Linked DNA regions of Drosophila melanogaster. The protein of the gene in region 1 interacts with the protein of each later gene in a pairwise test. Each region holds a gene or a part of one and is shown in the gene's direction. Other genes may lie near its edges. The genes, in order: Nplp2, CG11980 and gom.

Region 1 (3,381 bases):
CATTTAAAAGTTGCTGTCATACTTATCAGAAAATAAGAAGAAACTTATCTATCTGTTGGCTACAGTAAAAAGTATTTTTACCACTGCTCATATTTCGGGCTAATTACCGAATTTCATGCAAAAATCAAACAGTTTTATATTTAAAACATATGTTCTCTTTCCACCGCAGAATGTCGCAGATTAAGACCCATCGGCAGCTCATGGAGAATGTCCGCCGCAACTACGCCCATGTGCTGGAACTGCAGACGATTCTGGAGCTGCTCCGTCTGCGAACCTACCCCACGTTGGGTCCACCCCTGCCCCAATGTCATCCGCCAGTGCCGGAGCATATCCTCAGTTCGGTGCCCTAGGAGAACTTCAACCCGACCAACCAACAGACCAGACCGTGGGGCTAAGTTTTAGCCACTTGGCGAAATTGCAATTAAATATTTTCATTCCGCCAAATGAAAATTTATTAGTGGTTCTGGGTATCTGGTCTGGGTCTTCTGACTCGTGCTGCCACTTAATTGGGTTTGTTTGTGTCTGGGGAAAATTACGAAAACGAGGCATAAAGTCGTGCACTTTGAGCTCTGTTTGCTGTTTAGTTCGTTGCTCCCGAAACAAACTCTACTCTTGACTAACTACTTTTGGGGCTTAAGTTGGGGGAAACCCTTCAGCATCGCACTTCACATTTATTGTTTTAATGAATTGCCCTTGAAGACACGAGAGTTGATCCGAGAGATCAAACTGTTGCAATATAATACAAATAAAAAACCCCGATTGTCACTTTATATGGCTATCATATCGTGATTACGCTAAAAATACGGCAATACACGACTATTATTCTAATTATTATTACCTCTTTTAACCATTACGTAATCTTCGGATTTACTCCGAGCAGTAAGCCCTTATCTATTCAGCTTTCAAAACCAGAGAACTGTAATTTCTTTACTAAATATGCGAATTCATCATTTAAATTACTTTAACCCCTGGAGGTGAGCTACAGAATACACTATTTTTGTTAGTTCAGTTTTTTTACCGCAGCATCTATGTTGATAATAGTGTTTCGTTATTTCTATTCGCCTTTTAAGATGAGTTCACCATGCTAAATTTACGTTTTTGATATCCAAAGTCTACAAGAGTAGCTCTGTCTAAATATTCTGAAAGCGTTGTTTGGTTTGCCCAAGTCCAATCGCATTTGCATTTCTCCAACTTAGCTTCGCGTTGGAAATTTCCGGGTTGCTTCGTCAAATTTTCTAATACTCGGTATTATAAATATTTATTTTGCGCAATTACATAATTTCGAATGTAGGGCGCCTTATCAAAAGCATTTAAAAAAAACCTTATCACGTGCCACGTGCTTTGCATTGATAGCCGGTAAAATGGAAATTATAGTATAAAATAAAATTGACTATATACCTGTTACTCGTACAGAAAGTCGACTATAGCGTTATCTCTTCACTTTAACTATATATAAATATATATTTAACTAAAAAAAATGCTTACAGAAATATTAAAATATTTGGTCTTTAATGAAAAAAACAAATAAAAGTAGATAAACAATTCCGATTGCTGGATCGAAAGGCCTTCAGAACAGCTTAGCTATGCGAGCCATTGAAATGATAAGCACACATTGTAGGATATGTATATTCCAAATTTATACAGTGGTAATTCCATAATTATTTCTTGTTGAAATTCAAATTAAAAATATTCTTAAATTATATATTTAAATCTTTGTTACGGGCCAAGTGCTAGAATACTGGATTCGAGGATAGGGCAATACCATTAAGTCCTACAGAGATTAACTATTTGGCGGTTGCATAAAGCGGTTATCTTCTGTGACTAAACAAATGTAGACATTCTTGAGCCAAGCAAACGCTCAGCTGTTATGCGAAGCAATCTATTCCAGCATGCTACGGAAAAAAGTACGCTTATCACGGGTCAGCTCCGTAGCTCTAAACGCTCGGCCTTCCTAGTGCCGATAAGCCGGTCTCAAATTCGGCCGGCTGCGGCGCAAAACGAGGTGTCGTTATGAGTAGTTTGGCAGAGGTTCAATCAGTACTCAAGTCATCGTTCTCTAGTTCAGAGTTCCGCAGCAGTTACAAAAAACCAACACAAAAATGGCCAAGCTCGCAATTTGCATCCTCGTGTTCGCCCTGTTCGCCGTAAGTAAAATGCTCAAAGTCCTGGCACACAGATGCAGGACCTATTTTCAGAGATAAACTACAATGTGGCACTTTGATTTCAGTTGGCTCTGTCCGCCCGCGTCCCCCGTGAGGAATCCAATCCTGCCCAAGAATTTCTTACCAAGGCCCAGGGTGATTTCAACGAATTCATTGAAAAGTTGAAGGCGTTGGACGCGAAGAAGGTTGAGGTAATTATAAAGCAATCATATCAAAAATAAAGCGAGTTCTAAGTAATTAATAGTCATTTTTCGTGGAGACGCTTAAAACTCATTCTATCCACTACATACGTATTTTCCATAAAGTATTTACGAATTTCTAACTAACAACTTTTCTCTCTGTGTAGGGTCTCTTCAAGGATGGATTAAATACCGTGCAGGAGGGTCTGCAAAAACTTAACGAAACATTTCTTCAGGCACCAGCCGCATCCACCTAAGACGTTGTTGGATGGCCATATATCATTACATTGAAAACGACTCCAATAAATGTTTTAACTTTAACTTTAGTTGTTACATACATGAAAACTAAAAAATGAAATTAAAACGTTAATTGTTTTTAGCACAAAAACATATATTTGCCTATTACTTTAAAAAATTTTTCCATTCCACTTTCTAGAATAGCTATTTTATTACCTTAAAATTGGTAAAATTGAGATGTTTAGATTGAAAGATGATTTTTTTATTTATATTTCTTTTATTCTGAGAAAATATGCTTCCACGCATGAATTTGACTTGGTTAGGATAAAATTATTATAATTATGCCAATTTTTATTAGTACGGCCACCGAAAATGGTTAATTGCACTTCCTACAAGCTAAGTTATGGAACTTTTCTATACCGTTTTCACTGTGTTATTAAAGATTTTAGATGCTGAAGAGTGCTGATCTCGCTCTTCTTCGAAGAAAATTGCAGAAAATCAAAAATTATTGCCATGATTTGAGTTTCGTAAGAACAACTGGCTTTGAAACGGTAGCACGCGTGAAATATTTGTCAGCTATTTTGCACACCTGTTTGGCGCAGCCAACTCGGGGAATGGAGGACGAAATGTGAGGGCTTTCGAAACCATGAATAATGTATTGGCATTTGTACGGCATCGCATCTCGGGGAATCCCCTCCGATCGCCCAATCTAACTTCATCGCCGCGCACGATTGCATAATACCAAAGTGGATTTTTGCTTCTTCCAAGGGATTTCGTATCGAGCTTTGGGCCAAAAATGTGGG
Region 2 (3,571 bases), on another chromosome or scaffold:
AGGCGGCTTTGATCTCGCCTCTATAAATACAGTAAGGCTACTTAAGTTCACTTAGGCTCGAGTAAATAAATCTACAATTGTGATGTTGCACACCAGAGAACACTACAACGATAGTAATGCAATTTAATGATAGTGTCGAATTTTTAATTTTAAATACAAAATCATCACCTCCCGATTTAGTAATCTCTATTTTAAGTGCTCCAGTTAATTGCCCTTAAAGTTTTTTTGACGCGTACTCACATATTTGTTGTATTAAGCGATTTATTTGAAAAAAGACGGTGCTAATATAAGTTAAATGGGCATATACGTAACGAGGGTGCCAGTTCACCGATCCAATGATACCCTGTAAGTGCTATATAAGCCAAAAATGATTTAAATATTTGTATATTCAACTTACTATTCACTTTCATTCATTTAAGAACGACATGTGGTACAATATACCTTTCAGTTTCAGTTTGGTATTTACCTGTGGAATTTGCTTATTTGCTCACGGGCGTGAAAATATAATTACTTGGGTAGTTGTAAAAACAAGCGCATTTTTCGCTCAGTGGCAATGAACTTCTAACGTAATCTGTATGATAAGCTTAATTGCAAGAAGCTGAGGTCGAAACGAGTCCAGATTTTGATAAGCGTGTCTGCATCGATTAGTACCACAATAAGCCCTGTGAAATTTTTGATTTGGCCGCGTGACGTAGACGTCGGGGCAAATTGAACTTTAATTCGAGCTGAATTTCGCATTCCAATTGGAGATAGTGAAGTGTGTTTTCCAAACGAGTTTCGTTTACACAGGCACTTCCTTTTCCACTCAATTTCCGAGCTTAGCATCTTTTCGAAGGTCATGGGATGCTGACAACGGGAAAAATGCCTGTGTAACAATTTGAATTTAACGTTTTGTTCGCGCTCATACACGTGATCATTGTTGTCGGCGGTGATTTATGTTTTAAACGCATACATAGACCGTTTGCCTACTATTTCGGTTTTAATTATTGTTCGTCAGTTTCAGCGCACAATTAACGGAAATGTAAAATTTAAATAACTTATAACGATTATATAAGCAATGCCACGCAGTGGGTCAGTAATGTATTTTTAAGCTTTCCGATTCCCGCGCGTTTTTAATGATCTTTTAAACTAATCACTCTTACATTGCGGGTACTTGCCGACTTATATTTCGGCGCAAACGGGCTTCTGCCATTTTGGTAAATCCTTGTGGTTAGTCAATTTTATCCAATGTATCCATTCGTGGGTCTTGAGTTCCAAAGGCTTACTAAAATTTTCAGCCAATAATTCTCTACTAAGCAGCCAAAAAATTGATGTGGTCCCTATGAGTTGTTGTTTTACAAATTAGCAAGCGAATGCTAATTTATTGGATAAGCACAAACGCCCATGCAATCGATTGGTGTGGGGCGAAGTTCTTTGATAAGCTGGCAGTGCTTGGTACAGATTTCACTGAATTTTCATATATTATTATATTAAAATCCAACTTGCCTATAAAACGTATTTAATTAAAATGTTGTTAATTGTTTGCGGCTTAAAAAACCGTTACCAGTGCTGCCACGCTGCAGTTTTTATATATTTAAGCTGAACGCGTGTTGCCATATCAAGTTATAAAAACTTGTGATATCGATATTAAATGGAGGAAAAGACCGTCGCTAATGTTCCGATTGTTACCTCGTTTTCGTAAGTTTTTGGTTACAATCCGAAATTAATTGAAATATCTGGGCTTAACTGAATGTTTTGAAGCAGGAAAACTATCTATAATGACTGGAGTTACCCCACCAAAACGCTCTCCCCTTTGGATCGGCACACACAGCGGCACTTTTCACTGCGACGAGTTGGTCGCATGTTTTATGCTCAAGCAATTGGATGAGTACAAAAACGCAGAGATTTTCCGCAGTCGGGACAACAAGGCTTTGAAGGAGAAGTGCGATATAATTGTCGACGTGGGCGGCGTTTATGATCATGCCAAGAAATTGTACGATCACCACCAAATAACCTTCAAGGAGACTTTTAGTTCCGTTCGCCCAGATGTAAGCGAGGACTACAACGTTGTCAGGTGAATTCGTGGTGTTAGCGTAAATGAACCCGTATAATCCAATGTAATCCCCTCCAGGCTAAGCAGTGCTGGACTGGTCTACTGTCACTATGGCGAGCGTGTTATACAGAGCATCCTGCAGCGCGAAAAGGGAATTAAACTCTCACCGGAAAACCTGCAAACGGCCTTTATTCAGATCTATAGGAATTTTATCAACGAACTGGACGCAATTGATAATGGAGTGCCCATGTTCGAGGGCGTTGAGCCTATATACAAAATCTCCACTCATCTATCTGCCCGCATTGCCAAACTGAATCCGTCCTGGCAGGAAACTGGCGTAGACATCGAAGACCGATTCAGACAGGCGATGGATACTGCAGGTCGTGAGTTTGTGGACAACGTTGTGGAGGTATCATGTTCCTGGATTCCAGCCCGGGATCACGTACGAGAGGCTCTTAAAAATGCCAAGAACGTCCATCCCACCGGCGAGATTCTTGTGTTGAAGAATTTCTGCCCCTGGAAGTCTCATCTGTTCGATCTTGAAAAGGAGTACAAGGTGGAGGGTGTGCCCAAGCTGGTCGTCTTCAACAGCGGCAATAGTTGGCGAGTGGCCGGAGTTCCAGTGACGCCTGGCAGCTATCTGGGCCGCAAATTTCTGCCCACTCCTTGGCGCGGACTGATGGACGATGAACTATGCGATAAGGCGAGCATCAAAGATCTCGAATTCATCCATCACACAGGATTTATTGGCGGGGCAAAAACCGAGGAGGCTGCCATGTTGTTGGCCAAGAAATCCACCGAGTGGACAGAAGAGCAATAATATAATACGACTTAAAGTTATGCTTTTGAAATTGAAAAACAATAATTAGATCGCATTTAATTCTGGTGTTATTACGCATTTAATTCTGGTGTTATTACGTTATACGGAAAAGAAATACGCACATGTTGTACCTAAACAAATTTTATTTGTATGTGTATTTCGGTTAATGTATACAAAATCACCAAGGGAACCTCTAACATCATCTAGTCCATGCGGGTCTTCAGTGTGCGCTCCGTGATCTTGTCCTTCTCGATAATGTAGACGGTGGCACCCCAACCGCTCATGGCGTCGCGATCGAATGCGTTCACAATGGACTGGGCGATGACCTCAAACAGCTGGTCCGGCTCGAGATCGGGTTTCCACAGGGTTTCGCACATGCCATACAATTGCTCCGCACAGGTGCCGGCCACAACGAAGTCATCGGGTGCGTTGGGGCAGCCGATCAGGTCCATGTTGCAGATAAAAGGCTCCATGGTCTTGGGATCCAGGCCAGCAACGACCGGCTCAATGAAGTACGGGCCAAAGCGGTGCTCGTACAGAAAGCTGGACATCATGGCCGAGAAGGGCTTGGGACACATTTCACGGTTTTCGCGTGTCTCGTACAGATTCTTGCGGAACATCAGGCGATCGCGAACAGTAAGGATGTCCGTCTGCAGGCCTGTGAGCCCGAGGAACATCCGTGGGCCGATGTGGAACACCTTCTTGAAGTCCGTGGAGAT
Region 3 (3,689 bases), on another chromosome or scaffold:
GGTAAGTTGTGCTAATTATTGCTTAAACTTATTTAGTTGGCTATTTTTATTGCAATTTCTTGAGCATGATTCACAAGGGGAATTCAAATCAGAGGCTGCCCTTTAATGAATCAGCTACTTGGTTGGCATGGCCTACATTCAGTTCTCTAAAAATCACTTCTGATATATAAATACGCAGAACTAAATGCAGCCACTGATTTGAAATATCAAATATATTGCAGGTCTTCGTTCTGCATAAGCTTGATGTTCTGAAGTATATTGTATACATCGTTTTTTTGACGTGCTTTTCAAGTGTTAATAAGTTGAGCTGCTTCTATATCATACTCATATGTATGTGTGCAAATGATATATCTGTCAGTTGTCCATCATTGGCTAAGATCAAATCCGAATCTAAGCCATTTCGAGTTGAACAAACCCAATCGCAACGCCGCCGAAAGCGAGAGGCACGGGTACGTGAACTCCATATTCCGACCACTCTGATCTAATGCCGCTGAAATCGCACAAGGTTGTACTTGTGTACGAGCGTATGTAGATAGATGGATGAATAGTATGTGGTCCAATACATTCCGATTTCGATTTCGGATTCGGTTTCGCTTTCGAAGTCGGCTTAAACTTGGCACCTGTTGCGGTCAGAGCAACACTCGACTACACTGTCGCACAAAGTTCGCATAGAATTGAATCGAGCTTGAAAATGTTTTGTGGTCGCAAGTGCTGTCTGTTCTGCCTGTTCATGAGCGCCTGGGGCTTCTTGATGCTGAATCTGCTGGGTATCTTCTTCTACGTCCAGTCACTGATGCTCCTGGAGTCCCTGCCCTTGCCCCACCACTTCCCCAGTCAGGAGGCCTTCAAGGAGCAGGCGGACGAGGCCTACCAGGACGTGTCCACACGGTGCTTTGTAGCCGCCGTTTTCTATCTGGGATTCGTCTTCATTGCGATAGTGGCCATTCGTCGGGATAACAAGAGAAGGAAGCGACTCTACAAGCGGGGTCCCGGTCACTTGCGATTCCGTCGTTGATTTGTATGATTGGTTATTGAATAAACAATTTATTTTCATGGTTCCAATTGCATTTCACCCACTCAGCGACGTCCACCCACTTGTTGGTTCGAAAGATCGAAAGAACCAGTTTGTTGACCGCATTCTGCGATTAGCCTTAACTTCTTTATCGCCAAGCCACTTTTCGATTTCAAGTCTGGCTGACTGTTGTCCACTCCGCATTATGCATTCGTCTCGGACCAACCGATTTTTGACAGCGCACGTGACACCTTCACCGAGGTGTGTTCTCTTTTGGGCATCATAAATTTCCGTGAAATTCTCTTTCCGAAACATGCTAATGGGAATGGGGTGTGGGTTCCCAGTTCTGGCTATTCCCCCCCCTTTCACCTCTATACCGTAGTCTAGTCTACACCGGGGTTATGTATCTTGTTCTTATCGACCGAGCTTTTGTGTCTTACACGAAAACCGTTGTGTAAATTATCGTACACGATTTTCTAGTTGTACGCTTGTGTATCTGGCTTGTTATCACCACCAACCAAGTGCAGTCTGCTGAAAACTGGTTCACTGCATTTACTCATTTTTTCGGGAACTCGGGTTAACTGATTTGGAGATCTGGCAATACCTGGGAAATATTCTAAATTTCCTCCATGGATGGTCTTCTATATAATTGTGCCACCCGAGAGACCGTACAATTTCTTATGCAGATGTAGAATCGTATTTTTTACGAATCTATGAAACACACTCGTAGAAAAGTGGTTCAATTCAGAAACATTTGATATTGACATCAAATTGAGATTTTTAAGTTTGTGACGCGAAAAAAATTTTATATTTTGCTAGGCAAACACTTGGCTAAGAAAATCAAAGGTCTCTTCCCACAGAGAAGGGAAGTGAAGAGCAAGTACCATGTCCCGATTTTTGATAGCTACCAAAGAGCGTCTCCAGAGGGGATGTGAGTGAAAGAATTATGTCCAGAAGTTTTTCGCTTCAAAGTAGAATAAAACCTTCCTGAATCCCCAGTGCGCTTTGGCCAGATGTTGATTCATAATACGGTTTCTCAGCGAATGGCCGCTAAGGCCACGCCTCCTGGGTCAGCTAAGGCGGTCAAGGCCACTCCACCGCCACCCCCGTCCACCAAGCCGCCACCCAAATGTCCTGGAGGCGACAAGAATATGAAGCGGAAGCCGGGCTACTTTGCCAGCGGTGGTCAGCACGCGGTGCTCAGTGATTGCCCAAAGCCGGAAGGCGACTTTATGAAAGCCTGGTCAGCCAAGAACAGCCGCTATAACCTTATCCTTGTCTCCGGTATCCTGGCAGCAGGGGGAACATTGGGCTTTGCCTTGTCGTCAGGTAGGATTAGCCACTTATATCGTATAGCAATTGCACCATTTAATCTCAGGTGTCCTCTGTCTAAATTGGACCATTCCCGAGTATCCCTACAACGAGGATGAGATGGAGGAATTTGAGATCGAAGAGGAGCGCCGACGGGAGGAGAAGGAAGCGCGTGAGGAGCGCCATCAGGACGCAGTGGAGGCCAGGGAGCTGGGCATACGTCGACGCCGTGCCAAAGAGGCCATGGAGAGGGAGGTGGATTTGATGCAACGCGACATGGATGGCGGCATCACAGACGCCGAGTTGGATGAACTACAGCGCCTGGCCGCCGAGCGCGAGGCCTTCGAGCTGTGGGAGAAGGACGAACTGAAGCGGCTCGAGGAGCAGGAGAAGGAGCGCGAGAAGATTCGGAAGGAGAAGGCCAAGGTCAAGGCCGAAAGGGACAAGGAGCGCGAAAAGAAGCGAAAGGAGAAGGAGGCGCAGCTCGAGAAGGAGGAGGCGGAGCGCGAGAAAGCCCGCGAAAAGGCGCGCAAGGAACGTGAAAAGGCTGAGAAGGAGAAGCAAAAGGAAAAGGAGAAGGCCGACAAGGAGGCCAGAAAGGCCGGCTAGTATGCACTTATACTGCACTTTAATTTACTTTGCCAGCAGTAACAACACAAAAGCTTGGAAAATTCATTGATCGGGCAAATACAAACATCAACACCCTGCGAATAAAGCCCCCAAAAACACTGGATATACTGTTCAATAAAAAATCAAAATTCGTTGCTGTTGGCCTGAGATCTGCATTAGATAATTCGCATTTTTTTTATTGATGCCATATATAGGTAGGAATCTTTGGAGATTTTTTAATCTATTCTACTGTTTACCCCATAGACGCTATAGTTTTCTTAACTAAACTAGACTTGAGGCACTCAAGTTTTAATCATGCCCAGCCCAGATCCCTGGCAGAATCTAATTACATATTTGGATTCTGCCACTTTATAGACTACTTAACTTGCCACATGCTGGCATTTCTAGTGCAATTAAGCCAGCGTTCTGTTTCAGCCAAAATGAGGTGCAATAACAAAATGCTGGATGGCCCGAAGACCGTCCATGTACATACATACATACGTATGTTGTATGCATTTAGAGTCAGTCGGGCACTCTGTTGGCTGTAGAGGAAATGGCTCATTGCATGTAATCAAAAGCAGCAAAATTGTATCTCGTAGATAGCATACACATAGAGTGAATTCAATTGTGGCTTCCATTACGCGTCAAAGAGCGTTCCAATGTTCGCATAACAACGACCACTTGTTGTTCGTCGCAATAAAGTAAGGTTCTTTCTCCGATTCGCGTCGGCTTGGTTTGGCAGCCCCCTAATCTATTT

What was found.
Region 2: the proteins of Nplp2 (region 1) and CG11980 interact in a two-hybrid assay, tested with the Drosophila melanogaster proteins (one large-scale study listed by BioGRID).
Region 3: the proteins of Nplp2 (region 1) and gom interact in a two-hybrid assay, tested with the Drosophila melanogaster proteins (one large-scale study listed by BioGRID).

Annotation. Positions count from the first base shown.
Region 1 is NT_037436.4:13,354,500-13,357,880, forward strand, and holds Nplp2 (Neuropeptide-like precursor 2), read left to right. Parts: upstream 1-1,876; 5' UTR 1,877-2,099; coding exon 2,100-2,144; intron 2,145-2,227; coding exon 2,228-2,353; intron 2,354-2,508; coding exon 2,509-2,598; coding exon of another isoform or gene 2,599-2,697; 3' UTR 2,698-2,724; downstream 2,725-3,381. Other genes in the region: CG17687 (uncharacterized protein), read left to right, coding at 170-350.
Region 2 is NT_033777.3:9,002,399-9,005,969, forward strand, and holds CG11980 (uncharacterized protein), read left to right. Parts: upstream 1-1,618; 5' UTR 1,619-1,652; coding exon 1,653-1,677; intron 1,678-1,697; exon of another isoform or gene 1,698-1,740; coding exon 1,741-2,053; intron 2,054-2,110; coding exon 2,111-2,852; 3' UTR 2,853-2,933; downstream 2,934-3,571. Other genes in the region: CG31100 (uncharacterized protein), read right to left, coding at 1,143-1,192; Prosbeta3 (proteasome beta3 subunit), read right to left, coding at 3,056-3,571.
Region 3 is NT_033778.4:22,138,251-22,141,939, forward strand, and holds gom (gomdanji), read left to right. Parts: upstream 1-1,684; 5' UTR 1,685-1,897; coding exon 1,898-1,943; intron 1,944-2,011; coding exon 2,012-2,341; intron 2,342-2,390; coding exon 2,391-2,932; 3' UTR 2,933-3,114; downstream 3,115-3,689. Other genes in the region: CG11269 (uncharacterized protein), read left to right, coding at 692-1,015.